Linked DNA regions of Coturnix japonica. The protein of the gene in region 1 interacts with the protein of each later gene in a biochemical or structural test. Links are inferred from orthologs where the notes say so. Each region holds a gene or a part of one and is shown in the gene's direction. Other genes may lie near its edges.

What was found.
Region 2: the proteins of PLCG1 (region 1) and LCP2 form a complex in vitro, tested with the Homo sapiens proteins (2 studies listed by BioGRID). The link is inferred for Coturnix japonica from reciprocal best matches to the Homo sapiens genes PLCG1 and LCP2.
Region 3: the proteins of PLCG1 (region 1) and SOS1 form a complex in vitro, tested with the Homo sapiens proteins (2 studies listed by BioGRID and IntAct, with this or other methods). The link is inferred for Coturnix japonica from reciprocal best matches to the Homo sapiens genes PLCG1 and SOS1.
Region 4: the proteins of PLCG1 (region 1) and SH3BP2 form a complex in vitro, tested with the Homo sapiens proteins (2 studies listed by BioGRID, with this or other methods). The link is inferred for Coturnix japonica from reciprocal best matches to the Homo sapiens genes PLCG1 and SH3BP2.
Region 5: the proteins of PLCG1 (region 1) and ITK form a complex in vitro, tested with the Homo sapiens proteins (2 studies listed by BioGRID, with this or other methods). The link is inferred for Coturnix japonica from reciprocal best matches to the Homo sapiens genes PLCG1 and ITK.
Region 6: the proteins of PLCG1 (region 1) and ERBB2 form a complex in vitro, tested with the Homo sapiens proteins (2 studies listed by BioGRID and IntAct, with this or other methods). The link is inferred for Coturnix japonica from reciprocal best matches to the Homo sapiens genes PLCG1 and ERBB2.
Region 7: the proteins of PLCG1 (region 1) and KIT form a complex in vitro, tested with the Homo sapiens proteins (3 studies listed by BioGRID and IntAct, with this or other methods). The link is inferred for Coturnix japonica from reciprocal best matches to the Homo sapiens genes PLCG1 and KIT.

The regions. Positions count from the first base shown.
Region 1 is NC_029535.1:4,220,520-4,223,812, forward strand, and holds the end of PLCG1 (1-phosphatidylinositol 4,5-bisphosphate phosphodiesterase gamma-1), read left to right. Parts: intron 1-724; coding exon 725-839; intron 840-1,076; coding exon 1,077-1,238; intron 1,239-1,347; coding exon 1,348-1,436; intron 1,437-1,844; coding exon 1,845-2,032; intron 2,033-2,363; coding exon 2,364-2,406; 3' UTR 2,407-2,793; downstream 2,794-3,293. UniProt on the Homo sapiens protein: Mediates the production of the second messenger molecules diacylglycerol (DAG) and inositol 1,4,5-trisphosphate (IP3). Plays an important role in the regulation of intracellular signaling cascades.
Region 2 is NC_029528.1:13,171,958-13,175,457, reverse strand, and holds part of LCP2 (lymphocyte cytosolic protein 2), read left to right. Parts: intron 1-466; coding exon 467-529; intron 530-2,335; coding exon 2,336-2,382; intron 2,383-3,109; exon of another isoform or gene 3,110-3,366; intron 3,367-3,500. UniProt on the Homo sapiens protein: Adapter protein primarily involved in signaling pathways within T-cells, as well as other immune cells such as platelets, mast cells, and natural killer (NK) cells.
Region 3 is NC_029518.1:14,489,699-14,493,198, reverse strand, and holds part of SOS1 (son of sevenless homolog 1), read left to right. Parts: intron 1-321; coding exon 322-486; intron 487-2,430; coding exon 2,431-2,640; intron 2,641-3,124; coding exon 3,125-3,268; intron 3,269-3,500.
Region 4 is NC_029519.1:74,770,848-74,775,065, reverse strand, and holds the start of SH3BP2 (SH3 domain-binding protein 2), read left to right. Parts: upstream 1-1,418; 5' UTR 1,419-2,103; coding exon 2,104-2,213; intron 2,214-4,218. UniProt on the Homo sapiens protein: Binds differentially to the SH3 domains of certain proteins of signal transduction pathways. Binds to phosphatidylinositols; linking the hemopoietic tyrosine kinase fes to the cytoplasmic membrane in a phosphorylation dependent mechanism.
Region 5 is NC_029528.1:13,136,375-13,139,874, reverse strand, and holds part of ITK (tyrosine-protein kinase ITK/TSK), read left to right. Parts: intron 1-1,183; coding exon 1,184-1,265; intron 1,266-2,438; coding exon 2,439-2,567; intron 2,568-2,919; coding exon 2,920-2,960; intron 2,961-3,425; coding exon 3,426-3,500. UniProt on the Homo sapiens protein: Tyrosine kinase that plays an essential role in regulation of the adaptive immune response. Regulates the development, function and differentiation of conventional T-cells and nonconventional NKT-cells.
Region 6 is NC_029542.1:3,928,568-3,932,067, forward strand, and holds the end of ERBB2 (receptor tyrosine-protein kinase erbB-2), read left to right. Parts: intron 1-17; coding exon 18-156; intron 157-225; coding exon 226-348; intron 349-422; coding exon 423-521; intron 522-591; coding exon 592-777; intron 778-845; coding exon 846-1,001; intron 1,002-1,075; coding exon 1,076-1,151; intron 1,152-1,224; coding exon 1,225-1,371; intron 1,372-1,445; coding exon 1,446-1,543; intron 1,544-1,616; coding exon 1,617-1,787; intron 1,788-1,911; coding exon 1,912-2,167; intron 2,168-2,239; coding exon 2,240-2,583; 3' UTR 2,584-3,119; downstream 3,120-3,500. UniProt on the Homo sapiens protein: Protein tyrosine kinase that is part of several cell surface receptor complexes, but that apparently needs a coreceptor for ligand binding. Essential component of a neuregulin-receptor complex, although neuregulins do not interact with it alone.
Region 7 is NC_029519.1:58,899,032-58,902,531, reverse strand, and holds part of KIT (mast/stem cell growth factor receptor Kit), read left to right. Parts: intron 1-3,397; coding exon 3,398-3,500. UniProt on the Homo sapiens protein: Tyrosine-protein kinase that acts as a cell-surface receptor for the cytokine KITLG/SCF and plays an essential role in the regulation of cell survival and proliferation, hematopoiesis, stem cell maintenance, gametogenesis, mast cell development, migration and function, and in melanogenesis.

The DNA.
Region 1 (3,293 bases):
CATTGGCATTATCCATATGATAACTCCCTAGAAATCCCTAACACCATTTCTCTGTGACTTCCATTTACCAAAGCGCTGCCCCTCAAACTCTTCCTGCATCTCGGGGTGAAGCTGCAGCCTCCAGGCATCAAGGGACCCCATGCCACAGCCGTCTCCTTGAAGAGATGAGCTCAAAGCTGCCCGCTGTCCCCAGCCAACACCAGCTTTCATGGATGGAGAAGCTGCCTGGAGCACAGCATGACTCAAAGCATGTGATGCGGTGCTGGCAGAGCCTCCTTCCCCTGCTCCAGTGACATATGGCTCTTGGCAGGAGGAGCGGGGAGCTGTGCTGTGAGGAAGCAGGTTGTCCTCTGTGCTGAGCACCCACTGCTGCAGGCAGAGGGGAGGAACAGCTTCCTCCAGCCAAAGTGATGGGAGCGAGAAGTTCTGATGAAGCCATGGGTGCCCAGTGCCAAGGTCCAGCTTAGGGGAGTGATGCCATGGTCACAGCTGGGCTGTGCAGCTGCAGCAGGACTGCGGGCAGCTGAGCTGCTGGCTTCAGGCTAAACTACAAACTGGTGATATGCAGCAGTTCTACATCTGAGAGCTGCTTCCCTCCAGGTGTCAGCATCTCTCCTACCTCTGCTTAGTGCAGCCCAGGGGGGAGTTACTCAGACAGCAAGTTTGTGTATGCAAACAAGTCTTTTCCTTGGCTCCCACCCTTCACTCAGTCTCTGTTCCCCAGGTCCTGGGGGCCCGGCACCTCCCCAAAAATGGCAGAGGAATCGTGTGTCCTTTTGTGGAGGTGGAGGTGTCTGGGGCAGAGTATGACAACGCGAAGCAGAAAACAGAGATTGTGGGTGAGTGTGGAAGGAGAGGTGGCATGGGTGGGCTGGTTTCCCCCCAGATGCAGCCTTTGTGCTGGCTGCAGTGCTTATCAGGGGCTTGGCAGCAGAGTGGGGAGGGCTGGCCGTGGTGCTCAGACACCCTCACACCAAAGGGAGGAGATGGGGCTGGGGGCTCTGCTTCCACCTTTAAGGGTGGAAGGAGCAAAGCAGTGCTGGGGCTGCCCTCTCACTGCAGTGTTCTGTGCACAGCGGACAACGGCCTGAACCCCCTCTGGAGCCCAAAGCAGTTCCACTTCCAGGTCAGCAACCCTGAGTTCGCCTTCCTCCGCTTCGTGGTGTATGAGGAGGACATGTTCAGTGATGAGAACTTCCTGGCACAGGCGACTTTCCTGGTGAAAGGCTTGAAGACCGGTAAGGGCTCAGAGCTGCTGTGTGTGCCGTGTTGGTGCTCATCCATTTGCTGAGCACGGGGCAGTCAAGGAGCTGTGCTGCAAATAGCGTGGGGCTGTGTGTGCCGCAGGGTTCCGAGCCGTACCCCTGAAGAACAACTACAGTGAGAACCTGGAGCTGGCTTCCCTGCTCGTCAAGATTGACATCTTCCCCAGCAAGGTGAGGCATTGCTGTACCCATCCTCCAGTGCACAGCTGTGCTGTCCTGACTCCTGCTCCCATCCAGTCCCCAGGGCTCAGGGCCATGCAGAAGGAGATTCTTTGATTTCTTCACCTAAAATCATGCACTGGAATGGGTTGCCCTGGGTGGTGTGTCCCTGCAGATAGTTCAGGGGGTGCAGCTGTGGCAATAGATGCGGCTTAGAAGCGGGGAGGTCCAGTTGGTGGTTGGACTTAGTGATCTCAGGGCTGTTTTCCAACCTATGAGTCCATTTTGGTGGGATCCCATGATGGAGCTTCCAGTACCTGGAAGCCTGGGACACTATAGATTAGCTGTATGGCCCAGGGCAGCCCTGTCTATAGCTCTGCACCATCTCAACCCCTTCACTGCTCTTTGCTCTGACCCAAGCAGGAGAATGGTGACATCAGCCTCTTTGGTGGCTCCGTGCTGCGGGAGCGAGGTGGGGACATGGCCAGCCAGCTGCTGGCCAGCAGAGCCAGGGAGGGCTCCTTCGAGGTGCGGTACCAGCAGCCATTTGAAGACTTCCGAGTGTCACAGGAGCAGCTGGCGGAGCACTTTGAGAGCCGGGAGCGAAGGTGGGCACTGGGGAGGGTCCTTGGGGGGCAGGCTGTGAAATGCAGCATCCTGATAGAGCTGAGTCGTAGCCTTGTCTGCTTTCTGGAAGCCCTAAATTAAGCTGGGAAGTGAGGGTAAGGCTTGTTGGGGGTTCACTGATTGGGGTGGGGGGTGATGAGATGCATAGTGTGGGATGCATGGGGGGAGCTGTGAGCTCTTCCATCCCTCCATGCCTCTGTGCTATTCAGGCATGGGCATAGGAGCTGGAAATAGAAATCTCAGAGTGGTGGGATGCAGCACAGGACCTGGAAGCACTGCTCCAACACTGCATCCCCTCTGTTGTCCCCATAGGGTGCTGCGAAGGACCAGAGTCAACGGGGACAACCGGCTGTAGGGCTGGCTGGAAGCACCTCCCGTGCCTGTGGATCTCACGGCACGCTGCGAACTGGTTTCTATTGAAACGGCACTGCTATGGCCTACTTTCAGGCAGCTTTTCCAGTTTCTCCGCTGAAGTGTGTTTGAGCGGAGAACTAAAAAAAAATTGGGAAAAAAATAATAATAAACAACCAAAAGAACCACCCAAACACCCACCCACCCACCTTCACCGACAAACCCTTAATGACGTGCAGGGATGTGCACAGCCCAACAGCTGCTGGGGTGAGAGACAAAACCTCTGCACATACGACCCGCCACCCCTCTGCTGTATTGGTGTGCACTGGGCTGGGGGCTGCAGGCCCCACTTGTAGCTTAAACTCCAATAAACGTGTCAGTATTACATGCACGCTGTCTCATTTTGCTGCCCTTGCCATTCTCCTTGCTGGGATGAGTGAGCAGGAGCAGCCCCATGGTTACAGCTGGGGTGGGGGGTGAGAAGTGGCAGTGGGGTAGGGCTGCAATGTGGGGATGCAGCCCCGCAATCACCAGCTGACTCTCATTTGTATTTTACACTCTTTATTTAGGAACAACCAAAAATGTCTGGTTTCATTTCAACAAACTGTACAAGCAAGCTCTTTCCCTCTCCCACCCTCACGTTCACATATACAAAAGGAAGGGAAACTTGCCGTTCACTTCTCAGAAGTGGCATTGTTGCTACAGGGAGTTCGTGCCCTCGGAATGAGAGCAGTAAAGTCCATAGCAGTGCAAGCTACCCCAGCCCGAGTCACAGCCACAGCCCACAGTCACAGGCAGCTTCACTTTTTGTTTTGTTTTCTTCTTTAAAACCTTTACCAAAAGTAAAAACTATTTCCTGCCTCTCCCGGCTGCCAAGGTGACCAACTCAAA
Region 2 (3,500 bases), on another chromosome or scaffold:
CTGTTCATTGTATTCAGTACTACAACCTCCTCATCCACTTTCCAGATCTTTTTATTGGAACAGGAAACTGGAAGGTGGTTTAGAATGTGGGGAATTTAGTGTTCCCATTCCCAAGGAATGGGAGTATTCAGGTCCACTGAAGGATCGTTGTTTAAAAAAACACAACACACATTTACAGGAAAAAAAAAAAAAAAAGAGCAATTCAGGTAGTCCAGGGTGTTTAAAAACAAAAAGTAATAAAATCTAAGTGAGGTCATGAGCTGCAGCTTTGTTTTATAACGTTATCACAGTGAGGATTTTGTGAACTACTGGGATTCCTAAGATGGATCAGGTAATAGGTGTTAGCACGCAACAGCATAACATGAAGCACCTACTCATAGTTAGCTGTAAGCATTTTAAGTATTTTTAAGTATTTTTGTTTCTTATAATTACAATGTAATAATAATAATATTCTTCTTATTGACAGTTAAGGTATAAGGACTGTGAGAAAGTTGTGAGAAAGCACAGTATAAATGGACAGAGGTTTTTGGTAAGTAGAGTTTGTAAAATTCCCTGAATCCAATGGCTGTTTTGATTCTTCTTTCCTTTGAACTGATAGTCAGTTCATAGATTGTTACTTAAGTATGAGAAGTAAAGATCAGCCAGACATTTTGCTGTAAGTCCAGAATTCTGGGAACTCAAGCATGTTGTTTCATTTTGTCTTGAATTCATCCCTTCCTTTATAGGAAATACTTGTTTTCAAATACTAACTACAGAAACCTAATATTTATTAACTGTCTTAAAACTGCTCATGTTAGAAAGATCATCAAGTACAACCTCGATCTAACCATACTACCCTTACCCTAACAACCCACTGCTAAATCATGTTCCCGAGCTCCATAATCTCCTGCTAGTAGTCTTCTACTAAAAAAGGCATGGACATGATTAGAACGGCCAGCTTTCTGCAGCAGTCACTATTTTGTGCCTCTATAGTCAAAATCAGGTTTCTTCTGTAGCAAAACATATATTCAGTGATCAATAATAACACAGAAACTAATATGGAACGTGTCATTGGGTCTAAATCAGCATTAGCCCAAGCTGTATCAAGAACTTGACCTAATTTGACAAAAGTTGATAATAATAATAATAATAATAATAATAATAATAATAATAATAATAATAATAATAATAATAATAATAATAATGTTATGTATTATTTCCAAAGCACTTCTGCAAATAAATGACGTAGAGTGCAGTATGTTTTCAGAAACAAGCATCTCCTCAGCTCTTCTAAGATGAATGTTGTTACGCTTCTGACCTACTTGTTATATTTATAGCATAAAAAATATTCATTTGTTAAAAACAAGTGGAATATTCTAGCCTGCAATGCAATCGTGTTGGGGTTTTTTTTTCTCTCTATGGATGGCGTTTCTAAGAAACATCTTTTCATGTCTGAATTATTGGAAACTGCCAAATTATATTTCAACACAAGAAACTATTAGCATGAGTTGTATGCAGGTTTTGGGTCTACTGTCAGAGCTACTTGGTAAAACTGACTGCAGAAATAAGGCTATCTTATCCACTAGAATAACCTGCTAGATTCAAAGTCATGTTTCTGTATCTACTGGCTACTACAGAAATGTTCCAGTTGAGATGCAGTAGAAATAAAACCAGAGGGATTCCACATAACTTACTTCAATAAAATTCCCCAAGATTTAAAAGGGCAAAATTGCCATTTATGAGAGTTTTACCCCGTAACATTTGTCAGGTTTATTGCCACAATAGAGTTCCAGTGAGAAGCTTAAAAGGTCTTTAGAAAAAAACAAGATGCTTCAGTAAATCCTGCAGGACGTTTCCATAAAGGAAATATATTTTTGCTTTAGTTTACTCCTACAAATGTACTCAGAAGCACAACAGTGCTGGAAAACACAGCTAAGATTTGTTGTGCCTTTAAAAACATTGATGCCATTTTAAACCAATATGTGAATAGAAACTAATTACTGCTGGCAGTAAGAAAGACAGACAGAACATGCCTATCATCCAAGTTCCAAAGCAAAGCTTTTGATTGACTAAACAAAACAATTCCTCAAAAGTTAGCCCACTGTGTTTATCCATCCTATATCTGGAGTGGCGCAACAGGGTGGAAGGATAGAGAGGCCAACACTCTTTGCAGGAGCATCAGTAAAGCTGCCAGTGCTTAGCACATCTCAACTCAGGCTATTAGGAACCTGCAATCAAATTGCTTCACTTCAGTAGCACAGGGAACATTCTACTCTACCCCTAAGTTTTTAGAAATATATATATATATTAACAAAAAGCACGTGTTTGTGATCTATACTGTATGCTTCTTTTGCAGAACATGTCTGAAAATGATATCCAGAAATTTCCCAAACTCCGAGTGCCGTAAGTAAAGCCACATCACTTTACATTAAAAGTTATTTTAACTCATTGTGAGTTGAGGAGTTAAAGTATTTTTCTTTGTTTGCTTTTTCATCAAGGTGGGTGATAAAGATAAATCAGATTGGAAGGTTTGGATCAGTGTTAAATTGATTTTCTTTGCTTCTAATGATGAGAGACTTGGAGCTCTTCATGGTCTTATAAACAAAGCAAGGGAAGAGGAGCTCAAGTCATACAAAAATGGCTATTTCTGTTTTGTTCACTTCCCAGTTCCAGGCTCTCTCCTTCTATGCATATCTTGATCTTGCTAAGAGACATAGTCTTCTTTAGTTTTTCTGATGCATCAGAGCATGTGTGAGATGTTTTGGTGATGCTAAAAATACTGCAGAAATTTGAAAAGTTGTCTGGTCTGTCAAATCCATGTGATCACAGTTAAACTGGTTGCTTGATCTGAGGGCAGGAAGACACCTCTGTTCAGATCAGATATACAAATACTTGAACTTGAAAGTCTCCAACACGATGTGTTTTTTACGATCATATCTGCATTTTCACAGAATAAGTTTCCTGATAGGAGGCTGTAGTGGTGTATGAAGTGCTAGTAAGTGAGCCCAGATGTTATGGAAAAGATGCCCAGGTGTCTTGGCATTTCTGAAGTTATAGTCAACTAATAGCACCATTTTATTATAACCATGGTTATTGAGACTCTGAGGGAAACAGAGACTTCTTCACTTACCAACAGAGAAGCAATTCACTGGAATGTTGTGACTGTATGTGGAAAAGGGATGGTAGGATGGGAAATCCTCCAGGAATGCCACTGTTTAAAACAAGAATTTAGAGCTTTAGTAGGAAAAAGAACTGACTGTCATTTAAGGAAAACAAACAAACAAACAAACAACAGCACAATTAACAAAACAAATTTTCTCTCTTACTTCTCTTAGCACTTGTGGAAATCTGCAGTAACAAAACTGCATCCCTGCAATAAAGCACATAATTACATCTGACAGTTCAAACGTGGTACGTGTACAGAGTTCTGAATGGGACCCATTCAGAACCTGCAGACGTGGCACAGCCTGGAAGTCATGCTGCTTTCTGCAGAGTAAAAGCTGCAGTCTTAAACAGTAAGA
Region 3 (3,500 bases), on another chromosome or scaffold:
ATGCGAAATAATAACCAAATTTGTAGCAAATGAGCACATGGCTTTCTTTATCCACTAGAGAGTGCAAGCAAGAAACCTTTCAAGCAAGGCTTCTGGGACAGTTCACTGTGGTCACTAATGTAGCTGATAGAGCAGCATCTACAGTGTTGCTGTTTATTTACTTGACCCACAGACTGTTGCATTACTGTTGCTAAAATAGACTGTATGTTGCCAATGTCAAGTAGAGTCTTAAACTTGCACCATAGGTTACAGTTACAAATCGTATATTTTGACACCTGAATAACATAGGATGTTTCGTGTTGGTTTTTTTTTTCCTTTCAGGAGGTTCTAGGTTACAAAATCGACCACCAAGTGTCTGTTTACATAGTGGCAGTATTAGAATACATTTCTGCAGACATACTGAAATTGGTTGGGAATTATGTACGAAATATAAGGCATTATGAAATTACAAAACAAGATATTAAAGTGGCAATGTGTGCTGATAAGGTAAGCTTAACTCTTGTTTTTCATGTTAAAAGAGCATTGAAGTTGAATTTTAAGAGGACTTGTCTATCTATTCCTTATTGAGTAAGCAGTGTTGTATGAAGAAATTGCTGCAGTAAAATATTGTTCCAGTAATGCAACAAAACTATCTGAAAGCTAATTGAGTTGCAGAGCTGTTACTCGTGCTTATTTACAGTTAAGTGTCTCTTTCTTTTGATATTGCTTGCCTAATCCCAGCAATGTGTGAATGCTTTAAAAGTTGTGAAGCAGCAAAGACTTCAACATTTCACATTCATTGGCATTAATAGTAGCTCCTGCTTTTCTTCTTTGTATCTTAGAAAAAAGAAGGCTGAATTGAAGCATGGGTACTTTCCCAAAATAAGACCGTATTGCAGTGTTTCTGTGCTCAAGTTAAAAACAGACAAACGTAGGCATCTCTGTTTCTCTGTAGGCATCCATACTTTTATTGCCAGGTCTTCTTTCCTCTGGTTTCAGAAGAGTCATTAGATTCAGACAGTAGTTACCTCTTTACCCAGTGATCCAGCAGTGCTGGAGAACAGGCTGTTGCGTTTCAGGTGCCTTCGCACTCTGGTTTCTATGGCCACCTCATCAGCATCTTGAGTTTTCCGTTTAAAAAACCAAAGCCTGAAGTTAGTCCTTTAACAGATGGGTCTCGAGAGATGCTCATATTGCTGCAGTCCAGTGGATGCTTTCAGTATCTTTGGTTGGACTTGCCTCTTCTTCAAGGAATGCTTTTGTCTTGTTCACGCTTGAGTTTTTTTTCCATCTTGCTTCCATCTTCATCTCAAGAGGAAAGAAAGGTGTTGTGTGAGGCTGAATTATTAGTGAGGTTGTGTGAGTGAATTATTAGTCAGGACAGTTGTCTTGGTCGTTTGGTCTTTTGGATGCACCCTCCTGGGCTGTTACAGCGGTGTTTGGAGCTGTGTGCTTGAATATAGAATAGGAACAGTGCTGTTGCTGCATGTGTCTCTGTATCCTGGGCAGGGATGGCTGATGGGTTAAAGAGGCTAATTGGGAAAGTGCATTAGGCACTAGTACACTGGAGTAAGTGTAGAAGAAGCTTTTGGGAGCTCTGAAGTGGGCATGTTGATTTACTGGCTCAGTGGAATAAGCCATTGGCAGGTATTTCCACGCTGTTTTCTTTTCCAGCCGCATCAAGGACCTTTAGGTTCCTGCTGTCAGTGTGCGCATTCTGCTTTTCTTTTTTTAACAAAACAACCAAAAGTTTGTCATCTTCTGTCTCCTTTCCAAATGCTTTCACACTTCTGTTGGTGCCACCTGGCTATCTGAAAAATTCTACTTTGTTTAAAAAAAGAAAGAAACAACAACAAAAAAACCACAGAGCAAACAAAACCGCACACAAAAAACCATCACCTGCATTAGAATGCAAGCTATTTTTATTTGACTGTCTGCTCGTGCTTCTGAATTCTCTAAGTGATTCCAGTTCAGAAGAACTGAGGAGCTGGTATTCATCACAGGTAACGGGGTTCTGAGTTCAAGTCACAAATGGCTTTCTGTTAAAGCCAAAGGTGAAGAGCCGAAACGCACGTGCTTCTCCATAATATTGCATCTTTAGAATCTTAGGTTGTGTAGGCTTATTCAGTGTTACAGAACATTACTAAATGCTGACACCTCCGTGCTTCATAGAACTCTTAGAGCAGTGATTGATTTTTAGGACCACGTTCTGAAACGTGCCAAGACTGGCCTGAGTGATGGGGTTCTTCAGAAATTTGCACTGCAAATATTGACTTGCAGATTCATAACAGTGCGTGTTGCTTTCATAATGCTCAACCAATTGCAGAACGATAAGTACAAACACTGCTGCTGGTTAGTTTGATTTAATGGAAATAATTTTATTTTCTGAAAACTTACTGGTAGATCTTGAAGTTCTGTCACTTTATGGCTTTCTCCCTCTTTGCTGGCTAGGTGTTAATGGATATGTTCCATCAAGATGTAGAAGATTTAAGTGCACTAACTTTATCTGACGAGGAGCCCTCCACTTCAGGGGAGCAAACCTATTACGACCTAGTGAAGTCATTTATGGCAGAAGTCCGGCAATATATAAGGGAACTTAATCTCATTATCAGAGTCTTTAGAGAGCCATATGCCTCCAACTCCAAACTATTTTCATCTCATGTAAGTGTTGTGTTTAAATAAGTATATGTGTATATAACATAATCTGTAAATGCTCATCTAGATTTATACAACTTAACTATTGTCCAGTTTAACACATCCATAGCAGAGAAACACTTCCCTTGAGTTCTGAAATGTGAATTGTAAATGTTTGTGAGGAAACATCTTTCTGTAGAAGAAACCATTCAATTTTATGTGTTCACTTGCAGGAAGGACGAGTTAAAGGTTGGTCAATGCTCTCTGCCACATTAAATTCATTGTAAATGCTTTTATTTTTATATGTACATATACAAAGTCATTGTTTTAAAAATAAATGCTATGATTTTATATTTCAAAAGTTATATACACAATATTGTTTATAAATTCTTGTTCTGGTTAAGGAAATGTTTAATTCTCATATTGTAACAGAGTTGTTTTGTACATAACATTGTATCTCAAATTATGTCCAGTTCCTCATTGATTTTTGCCTGTTTCTGTTTCTTTGCAGGATGTTGAAAATATCTTTAGTCGTATATCAGACATTCATGAACTTAGTGTAAAGTTATTGGGTCATATAGAAGACACTGTTGAAATGACAGATGAAGGTAGTCCTCATCCGTTAGTAGGCAGCTGTTTTGAAGATATGGCTGAGGTAAGAAAATACTGATTTTTCTGTTGCTGTTGTTAATCACGTGGACTTTAAGGATTTGCACGCAGGTGCTAAGCGCATGTCTGCCAAGGTGCCTTTATTTAGATTTTTGATTTCTTTTTCTAACCCTCCCCCAGTCGAGAGTAAACTATTTTTCTAGAGCATTCACCTTTATAGTCTTAGTCTTCAATCTTTGTAGGCTGTTTAATCTTCAGTAGAGGCAGGGGGAACAAAC
Region 4 (4,218 bases), on another chromosome or scaffold:
CTCTTGCTCAGTCTGCTTCTATCTGTGGTCCATTCTTGCAGTTTCCTGTAAATTGGTCAGTAAGAGGAAGCTCTCTCGCTGAAGATAGTTCAACACCTCAACTGAACCAGTGCATTAATACCAGTGAGGTTACTGTAGCATGAGAGACACTTTTTATTCTCTTGCTTTCGGTAAACTTGGCGTAGACGTGGTTACTTTTGACTGCAAGCAAGAGCTGTTATTAACATTGGCGGGGATGACTGACTGTCATTCACAAGCAGTGGTCCTAATGGAGTGAAAATCAAATGTAAAGTTGCTTTTGATGCTATGGTTCTTCTTACATGAGATCTGATAATGTCAGAGAGATGAAGCAACCGCTTTTCGTTGAAATTCTCCCTGAGCTGGGTTGGTGCAAGGCCTCACTGATGTTGTGGGGACAAATAAAGGTCAGTAGTCTGAAAACCATATGCCAGCATTCCTTGCAAAACTGAATTTTGCACTGTGGAGGAGGACTCTTCTGTGACAAACGTGTTAATCAAACCCATTACAGTTTTGCGTCTATTCAGGCTCTGTATTTGTCGTTTTGAAATGCAAACCTTCTGATTAATGTTTGGTCTAGAAAGCTAGGCAGAATTTTCATTCTACTACATGAATGATCATCTGTGAAACATGCAAGCGCTCTTTGGTGGTTTTGGTGTGTGCTTATTCCTCACTACAACACCAGCTTGTGCCTGAGCACATGTGAAGTGGCCTCTGTTCTGATGGTATTCGTTCTCTAAGACCATTTGGACAGTGTTAGAAATCACCAGAAAAATCGAAAGGGGATCTTGGAAGTAGAAATGAAAAACTGTGAGTGCGTATATGAAGAGGGCAGCATCAGAAAGATTAGAATGGAAAAAGTAGTACGTTGGGAGCATACTGAATGTATGAAATATTAATTTAAAATGAGACTGCAGAGCCCAGAGAGCATTGTGTTATGGCTGCAAACTTTGGAAGGGTAAAACCAAGGCTGAAGTGTGTCAGGCTGATGTTTGGAATGGATGTTCTGCAGTGTTACATCTACTTAAGTGCTGTCTCTTTTGATCATAGCTTTTTTTTAAATGAGGTGGAGATACAGGCTGAAGGATAGTAATGCAAGTTTAGGAGAGTATGCCAGATAGCAGAGAGCAATTATAACATAGCAGAGAACAGGGAGAGGAAGGACTGCTTTAAAACACTGTTAATTCTTAATATCAACTGTCTATTTCAATTTAATGGTGCATGGGACGAATTAATTTCATGGAATCACACAATCACCAAGGTTGGAAAAGACCTCCAACAACATCCATTCCAACCGTCCACCTGCCACCAATATTTCCTCACTAAACCATGTCCCTCAGTACGATACCTAAACGTGTCTTGAACACCTCTATACACTCAGTCACGTTTCTGGGCAGCCTGTTCCAGCACCTGACCACTCTTTCTGAGAAGAAACTTTTACTAATGTCCAACTTGAATCTCCCCTATCACGACATGAGGCCATTCCCTCTGGTCCTATCACTAACTACGCAGGAGAGGAGCCAACTCTCACCTCACCACAGCCTCCCTTCAGGGTGCTATTGAGAGCAATAAGGTCTCCCCTGAGCCTCTTCTTCTCCAGACTGAACAATCCCTGTCCTCTCAGCCATTCTCCATAAGACTCGTGCTCCAGATCTCACATACATTCTTTGCCCTTCTCCAGAACTGCTCCAGAGCCTGAGCACACTGTAAGGGAGAAGGGCTACCTTCTTTTTCTCCCATGGGAAAGCAGTTGGTGGGAAGGTGAAGAAGAGGCAAGAGAGCGCTAGAAAATCCCCCACAGTGTGTCTCGCAGTCTCAGAGGCTTGAGGTAACGCACAGTTTGATTTACAGCCTCTGTGGGATATTGGGAAATCTGACAAAGACAGAGCTGCCCACTGACTCTGGGGGGAAACAGGAAGTAACAAAGGAAACAAGTCATTGCCTAGGCGTCCCTTTTGGCCACGCTGCAGTGCAGATGTACAAGCAGTCGGGGCGCAGCTCCTCCTTTGTGTGTACAGTAGTTATCGCTGCCGCTCTCAGCCTTTCCATACACAAAAAGGAGGGGAGCACAGCGATGTTCCTGTCATGCCTGAGAGGGGCTATCAGCTGCTAATGGCTTTGTCCTCACAAAGGAAACTATCATACAGTGAAAGCGTCAGCAGGAAAGCTATGTGTCGACTGGGCACGGTGTCAAGGTGAGTGCGTGTATTTCTGTCATCTGTCCTCTTTTAGGTAGAGAGCAGATTAAAACTAAGAGAAGAAAACTGACTCAAGGAAAAATGCTTTTAACTGCTGCATCTTATGCAGAAAATGGCCAAGGATTGGAGGGGGAAAAACAAAGAGAGAGTTGGTTGGAAACGCTCACCTGATAAGAAAAGCAATTTGAATGGAATGAGCATATTTATAACGTGCACCTCAGTCAGGCTTAGTTCTCTATTCCCTTTGTCCTTTGGATTTATTTCTCCTCAGTGTTCGTGCTACGCTTCATTCTTTTGAGCAACTATTGTGAAAGGGGCTGTTGGGAGTGTTAAGAAATGCGATGTGTAACTCAGAAAAGGGGGAGAAATGTGGCAGAGTATTTCAGAAATACTGGGAATATTTATTAAATAATGGAAACGAGACCTGGATTTTTTGCAGAAAGCAGTTGTACAGATGGTTGGTATGTAGGTGGTTGAACTGGAGAACTCGTTTGTGCTCAGCATTGCAGAGGGCACAGGAGGAAAACTTTTGTTATGTTTTTCTGTATGTGCTGCCTTAGTTCTGGGTTCAGCCTTTTGTGAATGCTTAAACTTCAGTCACCTGCGTTATACCAGGAATGCATTCATTGCTGTAAGTTACACGCATAGTGAGAAGGAAATCCACATCCTGCTGTGCTGGGTTTTACTTTCAAAACAGTATTTAAAGATCGGATATTATGAGATGTTACGGCATTAAAATGTTTCTCAGACATGATTTGCATTGAGACTCTTGTGACAAACCCAGAACAGATTTAACTTTTACTGCAGTTCAGGATACTTGTTTAGTTTTCAGCATGACCAAAGGGCCTCCAGTACTGTCCATAAATATTATTATAACAAGTGAGAACTTTTAAGACAACTTTTGGCAGCTGTAGCTTCAGCAATGAGGTTAATGTGTCTTTAGGCTTATACACTACAAGGCGTGGGGATGATCACGTCTGCTGTATGTTCTGCTGAGGTTCAGCAAGGAACAAGGACTCCTGGCTCTTCTAGGATGCAGTCCTTAGTTGAATCAGCCTGTATCAATTTAATCGGGCTGAATGCCAATAGCTCGTAAGGCCAAAAGGGATAAGCACTCCTTCATAATCTGTTCCAGATGTGTTATGTGGCTGAAGGAGTTCATTCTGATAGTATTTGAGAAAGGTGTATTCATGGGATAGGCTTGGACTGACTTTACTGATACTTCCAGGGTACATTGTGGACTGGCTTGGTCTGCCAAAGTCTGGAAGACCGGTTTGCATGTATGAATTAATTACAGTATTGATTGTATCGTGCTCAATAGTGTTAGCTGCACTGCTCTGTCTCAGCTCTGTTGAGTGATGAAGCAAGTCCTATTAGCTGCTGTTTCAGTGTCTCCCACTATGCTTTAAAGTCTTGTCTCCCACAGAGGCGTAGAGTTGCCGTGGGGGTCATCTGAGAAAGGAAGTGGTGCAAGGCCTTTTGCTGCTGTCATCCTCTGCTGGCTCAGATGGTTCATTTCAATAGTGTTTCAGGGAAGAGAAGGCTGATTTACGAGGCACTTGTGCTGGGTGTGGAACTTGATGGAGAAAATTTATAAACATGTACCTAGTCCCTTGATGACAAGAACGGGAGGAATAAAGTATGTGGTTTTTACTAGAAGATTGCACAAAAGAATTAGCACAGGTATTGTTACCTGGTATCTTGTAACAGAGGGCTGCCATCAGAGAGGGAGGGTAGCCTGGCTCTGATGGCTCTTAGTGGGTCTCTCCTGTTATCTTCCTTGTCTGCTCAGTGGAAGAGGCTTTGGTTATGTACCTTGAGATGAAAATATGTAAGGGGGTCTTTGGCTTGTAGGGCAAGAATATAACAGTATAAAAAAAGGCATCTGGGAAATATCTTTTCATTCTTAATGATCACGGAGCTAATAGGCTCTACAGTGACTTTGGTGCTTGCTGTTGACCATACCTGGTAATGGAGCATTGATCTGTTCCTCACATAATAG
Region 5 (3,500 bases), on another chromosome or scaffold:
CTTTCTTCCCTTCCCACATTACAATGCAGCTTTCCTGGTTAAGCATGGATGGGAGAAGGAACAAATGTTGACAAACAATGACACAAGAATGTCTTAAAATGAGTGGGAATTATTGCCCCCCTTTTTTTTTTTTTTTTTCTTAAACAGAGGTTATGATTTATCTCTCTATAGCCTACAAAGCAACTGAATCACATAGCTGTCTGTGTGTGCCTGCAGGGGCATCAGGCCAAGAGATAGCAAATGCTTCCTATCATTTGAACGGTTATTAACGTTGCCTCATCTACACTGCTTTAAGCTCTGAAAAAAACAGATGCTGTCTTTAAACAGAAAACTCTGTTTAAAGATATTGGTTGAAGCTTTTTCAAAGTGATTGTGCATCAAAGAGATCGGGTCTCATTTGGGTATAAATTCTTGGATAAATATTGGAAAAGAAACATAGATTATGTGTTACATCACATTTTAGGCCCAAACGTAGTCATCTGATTAAGTTTCTGAGTCATTTTTGTTCCTGTGATGATTTCACTCCTGAGTCTGAAACTTCACGAATGTTCTGTATTTCTCTTCTGTCATTTGTTCATCACTAAGGGCACGTTTATGAAACCAGCATCCTGAATGCTCATTGCTCATCTGCTCTAGTTTCTTATTTCCCCACCATAACCCTAGTGAAAGCTATCAAAAACTCTAGAGTGATAGTAGTACAGTGAATCCCGGGGGCATTGCTTGGAATTCATATTGACCAGAAAAGATAAATTTGGCTCTTATATTTTAAGTGAAGGTGATTTAAGAGAAAGAGCTGAGAAACTTAAGTAATTTTCTCGTAGGTGCTTCAGAAGAACAGGCTATAGCCAGCATGCAGTGGGCTGGCTTCTGTGCAGACTGAAGTTGTAATGTTTCCATTGGTTTAACTGTCATTTCAACAAAAAATTGATTTAAAATAAAATTGCTCATCTAAAATTCTTTCTTGATTGAGTTTTGTACTCAGTTTTAGATAAGTAAAAGGCACTGAGGTTATGGGATACCTCTGAACAGGCGCTATATACTCCACTTGTACACAGCATTGTTTTTCAGGGATTTACGTACTTGATATGGGGGTTACTGCCTGTTTCTTTCCATGGTTCCACCATGCCCAGTACACCCAGGATTGTTTCTAATGGCTGGTTCCCATCTTTATTCCCATCTACAGATTGTCCATGATAACTACATCCTCTACGTGTTCGCACCCAATCGTGAGAGCCGGCAGAGATGGGTCTTTACACTGAAGGAAGGTAACAGAACCCCTAAGCCTACTTAATTGTTGAAGTTTCTTATCCCAGGTCATTTTTCTCCACAGCTAAAATGCCAAGAAAACATACAAGAGAAGTTGTTTTCTTACATCTAACCAAGCAAAGTGGTCACTGAGAACGCAGCTATGGAGTCAAATACATTTGCAGATGTTGTGGGTGTGTTTTCAAAAGCTTTAGAAAACTTCGGCATATAACACTTAATATTTTCTGGGTAGAAGATTTCTCATCACTGATTAATAGCTACTTTGTTTAGATGACAACCTTCTGAGAGAATCATGATTATTAAGAAACATTTCTGTGGGTAGCTTTCATTTCCTGTTCGCTTCTTGAATTGTTCTGTGGTTCATTACAATGATTCTGAAGTGAAGGTACAATAACTAACCGCTGGGTGCAGAAGGAAAAGGTTGTTTAGTTACATGAAAATTGCACCCTTATTCCCTCATAGCTTTCTCCTCCTTTGTAGCGTGAGCTGATGTTTAGTTCACTTTGAAAACATTGAGCCTGTTTGTGTTATTATTAAGCTTAGTCTTACAGTCAGTTATTCCCCTTTGAGGGTGTACCTGTTCCAAGTTTTTGTTTTATCGCCTCCTCTAGTTCAGCATGTTGAGACAATCTGAGTGATCAACAACAATTTTATTTGACTTGACCAAGTAGAAACAGGCCAGGATCATTTTTTTCTCCTTTTTTTCTTTATTCTTTTCAAGAGAATTATTATGGCAAATAGTTTCAAACAGAAGGACCTTTGATTGCTCATACAGAGATTCACAGCTGGCATCTACATGTGCAAAAATATTTAGAGCTGGTGAATCCCAACTGGTCCATCTCCCTCTGAACACTGAGCCAAAGCAGCAGAGTCTGTGTCCTACGTTTATACATCCTGCAGAGATGCAGTTTGCTATGAGAATCATCAGTACCTGGTGTACCAGGTTTTCTTTCTGTTTTTGAATTGTTCTTTCTGTGGTTTTGGTGTTTAACAGTTTGAAGAGAGAAATAGAGGAGGCTAATAATATTCACGAAGAATAATGGTTCGAAAAAGAAAATAAGGTCCTTACGTGCAGATTATTTCTGTTCAGTTCTATGTGCCTTTCAGAGATTATGTCAGTACAAACAAATCCACTTTTTCCTCCTTTTTTCTCTTACTCTAACTCTTTCCAGAAACCAGGAGCAACAACAGTTTGGTCTCAAAGTACCATCCAGATTTCTGGATAGATGGCAAGTGGAGATGCTGTGCTCAGACAGAGAAGATGGCAGTTGGCTGTTTAGAGTATGACCCCACCAAAACCGGTATGAGTTTTCGTTAAGAGAATCTTGACCCTGAAAGTATTTATTCCTAGAAAAAAGTAAAAGATTCAATCTATTTTGTCCTTCCCATATTTCCTCTGTAGTATAAACATCAAAGTAATGCTGGCAGATAGGGAAGTCAATCATTTTACACTGAAGACTTTTCCCCCCCTTGTATTTCTGCGATTCCCTATACAATCTGCACATCAGTTTCAAACCCGTGTTATGTTGCTGAGAGTCCCCGTGCAGGTGCAGCTGTTGGTGCATCTTACTCTAAACAACCAAGGCTTGCTGTTCTATTTCTGTAGGGTTTGTCTATATCTGATTCAAATTAGCTTTCTTGATTTCATTTCAGCCTCAAAGAAGCCTCTTCCTCCCACTCCTGAAGATAACTGGGTGAGTGCATCAAGGCATACAATGCTGTCCTTAGTAAAGCAGCTTTCCAAACCCACTTGTGGGTGGAAAAAGTCACAGTAAGAAGTGAGGAGCTGTGAGGTTGTTATGTCCATCTAAGAAGAGCAAGGAGATTTTATCACTGGCATCTTTTAATGGTAGTTTAGGAAACAACTGTGAAAATCAGATCAGAAAGGATTGATTCTGCCCGATGCCTTAAAGAAGAACTAGACAACTGTTTTCTGTGCATGTGGAATTATGTATGAAAACCATTGCTTGATAATGCTTAAAATGCCACGTTGCCAGTGTAACTTCACAAGCTCCTGGGGTGCTCTCCTCGCCTTGAGGTACTGAGCCCAGCAGGCTGTACAGAGCACACCAGTGTTGTCAGGGGAATATCATTTCAGAGAGCATGCCATTGATATTTATAAACATGAATATGATGAGCCTTTTTCCTAATTGGTATAGAAATCGTTGCTAAACACAAAGGAAACCTTAGTCATGGCCATATATGACTATGAAGCCCAGAATCCGCAGGAGCTG
Region 6 (3,500 bases), on another chromosome or scaffold:
CACCTCCCGTCCTGCAGCCAGGTGACATCCATCATTGCTGGTGTGGTGGGGGCTCTGCTGGTCGTCGTCCTTCTGCTCATCACCGTCGTCTGCGTCAAGCGCCGGCGGCAGCAGGAGAGGAAACACACCATGAGGCGGCTGCTGCAGGAGACTGAGGTGGGGGGGCTGGATGACCCTGGGGGGGGCTCAGAGTGTTGTCCCTCCTCACCCACTTGTCCCTCGCAGCTGGTGGAGCCGCTGACGCCCAGCGGGGCCCTCCCCAACCAAGCACAGATGCGCATCCTCAAGGAGACGGAGCTGAAGAAAGTGAAGGTTTTGGGCTCCGGCGCTTTCGGCACTGTCTATAAGGTGAGGGGTGGGAGGCACAGTCAGTGGGATGGCACCATCTGTGTCCTCACTCACCGCCCCCCCACCCCCCATAGGGCATCTGGATCCCCGATGGGGAGAGCGTGAAGATCCCGGTGGCCATCAAGGTGTTGCGGGAGAACACATCACCCAAAGCCAACAAGGAGATCCTGGATGTGAGTGCAGGGGAGGTGGGCACGGGGCTGGGGAGTCGGTGCCAACCTGACCTATCTGTGCTGCCTGCAGGAAGCCTATGTGATGGCCGGGGTGGGCAGCCCCTACGTGTCGAGGCTGCTGGGCATCTGCCTGACCTCCACGGTGCAGCTGGTGACGCAGCTGATGCCCTACGGCTGCTTGTTGGACTATGTGAGGGAGAACAAAGACCGCATCGGATCCCAGGACCTGCTCAACTGGTGTGTGCAGATCGCCAAGGTAAGAGAGGGGGCTGCTGAGGGGCTGTGGGGGGGATGTAGATGTGGGGCTTAACGCCTGCTGCCCAGGGGATGAGCTACCTGGAGGAGGTGAGGCTGGTGCACCGTGACCTGGCTGCTCGCAACGTCCTGGTCAAGAGCCCCAACCATGTCAAAATCACCGACTTCGGGCTGGCACGGCTGCTGGATATCGATGAGACCGAGTACCACGCAGATGGGGGCAAGGTGGGACATGGGGACGGGGCAACAGGGAGCGCGGTGTCCCCTGAGGGTCCCGCTCACTCCTCCCACCCACCCAGGTCCCCATCAAGTGGATGGCGTTGGAGTCCATCCTGCGCCGGCGCTTCACCCACCAGAGCGATGTCTGGAGCTACGGTGCGTCCCTATGGTGGCTGTGGGGGGCAGGGGGTCCCAAACCAGCACTTACCCCACATCCCCATGTCCTCAGGTGTCACCGTGTGGGAGCTGATGACCTTCGGGGCGAAACCTTACGATGGGATCCCGGCACGAGAGATCCCCGACCTGCTGGAGAAAGGCGAGCGGCTGCCGCAGCCGCCCATCTGTACCATCGATGTCTATATGATCATGGTGAAATGTGAGTGGGGGGGACATGGGGACGTGGGGGCCAGGACCCCAACGCCGCCCTCACGGTGCTCGGCTCTGCCCCAGGCTGGATGATCGACTCCGAGTGCCGGCCCAAGTTCCGTGAGCTGGTCACCGAGTTCTCCCGCATGGCCCGCGACCCCCAGCGCTTTGTGGTCATCCAGGTAATGGGGTCTCAGGGGGGTCTCGCCTTCAGCATTGCCCCAACGGGCACTGACAGCCCCCCCTGACCCCCAGAACGACATGATCGGGCTGCCCAGCAACATGGACAGCACCTTCTACCGGGCGCTGCTGGAGGAGGAGGACATGGACGACCTGGTGGATGCTGAGGAATACCTGGTCCCTCACCAGGGCTTCTTCAGTGCTGAGACCTCCACCGCGTACCGCAGCCGTATCTCCTCCACGCGGGTAAGGGCTGACCTGGGGCATCGTGCTGCTGCAGGGCGCACAGGGTGCAAGTTCTCTAATGCCACCCACAGACCCTATAGACCCCACAGCACCGTGCCCGACTCCGTGCCCTTTGCCTCCTCAGAGCACAGCAGAGACCCCAGCTGACACGACAGAGGGGGAGGAATCAGCCGCCTTCCCCTTCCCACCGCAGAACCTGGTGGAGGGGTCAGAGTGCCCCGTGTCGGAGGCTCTGGAGGTGGATGTTGGGGCCAAGGGAGCCCTGCCGAGCCCCCCAGCCACACGGTACAGTGAGGACCCCACCGCGCTGCCGGGGGATGAGAGTGAAGGTCTGGACCCTGAGGGCTTCACCACCCCAGCCCCACATACCACTATGCCAGGTAGGGCAATATAGGACCCTGGGGAGGGGGGCAAGGACCCTGTTTGGCTGCTGACATCCCTTTTCCCTGCAGAGTACGTGAATCAGGCTGGGGAGCTGCCGTCACCCCCCCGGCTCCCCTGTGCACCACCATCCCCACCAGACAAGCCCAAGGGCCACCAAGGCAAGAACGGGCTCATCAAGGACACCAAGCATCCCTTCCTGGGGCCCTTTGGCCACGCCGTGGAGAACCCCGAGTACCTGGCCCCCCCGGGGCTGCCGGTCCCCACAGCCTTCAGCCAGGCCTTCGACAACCCCTACTACTGGAACCAGGACCCCCCCAAAGCTGGGAGCCCTGAGGGTGGGCCCAGCTCCACGCCAGCAGCTGAGAACCCGGAGTACCTGGGTTTGGCTGAGCCTGAGGACGTGGCTGTGTAGGGCAGGGCCACATACGGACCCCCCCCTTTCACCGAGGCAGCTTGGGGAGGGACGGCACGAGGCCGGCGATGGATGTGGGGGCAGGACTGTCCCCAATCATGGGGGTGCCCTATACTGCAGGAGAGCATAGAGCACTGTGAGACGGCGCAGCAGCACAGGGGGGGGCACAGAGGACCCCCAAAAGGAGCCCCAAAGCCCCACTGAGATGGATGCTCCAACCCCACACGGTTCCTGGAGGAAGAAGAGCAGCATCAACAGGACCGGGAGCCCCATCACCCTGCTCCCCATCACCATACACCTATATACACCTGTATACACCCTGGATACACCTGGACCACGCTGCTGCTGTCCCAGAGCCCCCCACCACCCCTGTGCCCCCAGCCCCCTCCCCACCGGCGCCCAGCAGCGCTGGACACATTGACTTGCACTGAGCAGGTGGACACGGGGCTGCCTGGGCTCCTGCTGGGTTCCCGTTAAGCTGACAGTGTCACCTGGATGTATATTTCATCATTGTAGATGGTTTTTTTTCTACTCCACTTTGTCTGCGTGGTTTGCTCCCATCTCCTCCATCTGCTGCTCTCACTGCAGGGAAAGCCCTGATAGCCAAGAATGGGGCAGCTGCCCTAATCCTGCTTTCATTGCCTGGATCCCCCCCATGCTCTGCAGGGACACAGGGGAAGAGGAGCCACGTTTACCTCCATCCTTTATTCAGCGCTGGGCCCACAGACAGTACATCATAAATAGGGGATGGGCACCAATAGGGGATGGGCACCATTCTGCCACGCTGCCCTGGGCTCAGCTGCCCCAAGGGCAGAGTCATGATGTGGGGAGGGGGAGAGCCGGGAGCCTGGGAACGGGGCAGCAGGGGAAGCTCGTGGCTGTTCAATGAACCCTGGGGCTGTGGGGATGGAGCCAAG
Region 7 (3,500 bases), on another chromosome or scaffold:
GTATAGTAACAGTATATGCTGCAAACACGCTATTGCAATGCTTTAGCAGTAATAGTCCTTTCTCTGGGCATGGGCTCATATAGAGGAGCACCGAGATTTCTGCATGTGCACAAAACCCTAGATACTCATTTCTGAATTCTTCCCACTTGACAATGAATGTCATCATCTGAAGTATCAGTAACGTATTTGCAGTGCTGTAGTTTGGGTCTAGAAATATCATTTGGACTCCTTTTAGAACATGGCATTTCTTCTGTTCTCCATGCATGCAGTCATTTGTGTTGTGAATTCACTTCCCTAGCTGGGATTTTTGAGGTGAGAGCAATGGCAACCTTAGCTATCCTTTGCCATCTTGAATGAGTGCGGATCACAATCAGAAGGGGGAATTTTCTCAGTGTAGAACTCCATGTTGCTCCTTTTGACTACTACTTGACAAAGGCTGAAATTCATGCAGTCATGGTTAGGAAACCACTCTAGGACCAGCATGGTGAAGCATTATGGCCATGGTAAGAGAGAGTGTGTATGATGTAGTTTTGAAAGGCTTGCCTGTGCAACCAGCAGCATTCAGGTATCATTCATTCTTGTTTCAACATGGAGTTATCAACTTGGAAGTCTTGGAAGCAGTAAGGTCAGTCCTGTGATGAAATGAAGAGATTGAAGCCACCTCAGCAGAACCTTGGTTACCACGTAGTGTGACCCTGGGTGGGCTACCAACATTGCTGAAATGGATGGATTTGATCTACTTGGCTCAGAAAGAGTTTCTTTTGGTATTTTGATTCAACTACTGCAAATATTTTTTTTTCCTTTCAAAAAGGGAAGTCGGAGCAGGTTGATCCCTCAAAGAGATAAAAATAATGTCCTCTTTTCAGTGGTGTGTAATATGCTCATCATTTAGGTATGAAACACAAACTGCACAACAACATAACATACTATTTCAAATAGCAGAGTAACTGCAAAAGGTCAGTCAGGTGTGGGTGGGACAGACGCTGATCTAATCATGTGTCCTGACTTGGCCTTGTTGTCACTGGGAACTTTGCATAAATAGCTGGGATCTAGCTTCTGCTGTTTACAAGTCTGGCTCAGGCATGTAATCAGCAGAAAGCAATCAAACAGGTAAAACAGGATTCATAATCAGGGGGATATCTTCATGTAAACACAAATCGATGCTGAAGCATTTGCTGAAGGATGTGAGAGACTCTGTGCAGAAAGACTTCAGATTCGAACACATTTAGCAATTGCATATGCTAATCTAAAACAATACTAAATTGCTAAAGTAAAATGTAGTCAGTCATAGAGAGTGTTACACAAAGTGGGGAAGGAAAGAGCTCTGAAATTAGGAGCCAAAGGGAAAATTACAACTTGACAAGCAGTGAGCTGAACTGAGTTACAATTAAGAAATTGTACAAATCTCCAGAGTGGCAAGTTACCATGCATCTAACAATTAGTGGAGGAATCTTCCAGCTATTATCTGAGTTTAATGCAAAATAATATCTGGCTAAATGTATAGTCAACAAAATTCTGTCTGTGCAGGTGGGGCTTATGCTGCAAAGAGAAACCTGGTTGTGGTGTTAGAGGTTACATGAAGCTCTGTGTTCTTCCTGTCATTGCTGTATGCACTGGACAAATGAGCAGTCACTGTGGTGCTATGGAAAGATTCAGTCCAGTCCAGAAAATGGGGCTGTGGAAGGAAATGTATTTCTGTGCTGGTAGAAAATAATACCTATTAAATGTTAGTTTTTAAACATCTGCCTTCCTGTGCTAATCATGAAGAAATCGGTAATAAAAAGCAGCTGAACCCACAATGTTGTTATACAGAGCACTGAGCTGAAAGAGAATTGACCTCTCTCAAATCTTTGCTGTGTTCAGAATCAGCGTTGATAAGAGCTGAAAATCAGTTCAGATATGGTGAAATGAGAAGTTCAGGGCATCATTAAGAGAAGACTGGAGGTGCTGGGACGTAGCACAGAGTTGTGTGGTGTTGTGACACTACCTGACACACATCGTATACCTAAACACACAGTTACAATTTCACAATTCAATCTTGTTGATAGGAGCTTAGGAAAGCTGAATTTCTTACAATCCATGAATGCTAAGACTGTGCGAGATACTGCCTGCTATCAAAAAAGTTCTACTCCAAATGAGTAATGCTGAAAACCCGTCTCAACATTTTGCAACAGTGTTTGGTTCTGGGTGGTTTGCATAAGACACAGCATGTGGATTTGGAAATGAAAGAACATTCAGTTCTTGTAACATGACTCATGAGGAGATGCTACGTTATTGAGAGTGTACGTGTGTTTTATTGCCTCCAATTTAATCAGCAAGTAGAATATTCATTAAAAACGGTGTGCAGTCTTGGCACGTGGATTTTATCTGAAATAAGTTGCATTCTTCCACAGTTGTCAATGCAGTCTCACAACTTCCTACAGTGTTAGAAGCTCATCTTAGATCTTTGTAAAGTTATATTAATGGTTAATGGACTATTAATTTGTGCCAAGTGAGCGACATCTGTGGCATATAGTCTGGCTTTGCCATTAATGCCTTTTTTAATTTTTTATTTTTAATTTGCAAGGAAGCTAATATAGCTGTGGCTTCTAATTCTAGTTCTCCAATAAATAAATCTTTCTAATATCTTCCAGAGCCATGTAGGTGTTGTCCTTGCCTGAAGGCCTGTGACATTGGGCTACGCCTGCAAAGTCCACCTAATTGCTTTCCCATCATACTTACCACAGCAGCTCCGAACTGCATGCAGCACCAGCCTCAGTACAGAGACAAGGAATGCAGCGTCATAGCATGGGGCACCAGCTGGCTGCCTTGCTTTGTAAACTACCAGAGCAATCAGAAATTACAGCTTGGGCAGCTAATACAGACAGCCAAATATTAGCTTCCTCCACATGTGGCATTTCAGATGGTGAGCCTGTTAGGCCAGTGTTTTACTGGGACGCGTGCCCTCTGTGGGACAGGGATACGCATTGGTTGTATTGTACTGCAGTTTGTTTCCTGACTGTGGTGGTAATGTTTAATGGAGGGCAGATGCAGGAGAGGTGCAGTTTGACACACAGCTGTGGAGAAACTGACCTTGTTAGAAGCTGGTGAAATTCCTCTGCGAGAACTGGAACTGCCTTCTTATTTAAAACACATACTTTGTTCTGTACAGCTTGTGGCTCTGCTGGTTTAGGATCTTTCATCAGATCAAAAGTATGGAGGAGGTAAGGAAATCCAATGGAAGCATTCAGTGTAAGAACAGAGATTTTCACAGCTTGTCAGTGTTGCGGGACCATGGGAAGTTCAGTTCCCCTGACTCTATGGGTAATAACACACTCCAGTTACTGGAGTGATGAGCATGCGGCAATGCGAATTGTGTGCTCCTTTAACATGATACTCTCATTTGTGTGTGTTGCAGCAAAACCAGAGATCCTTACCTTGGATATACTCAGTAATGGCATTCTTCAGTGTGTGGCAGCTGGATTCCCAGCCCCTACCATTTACTGGTATTTTTGCCCAGG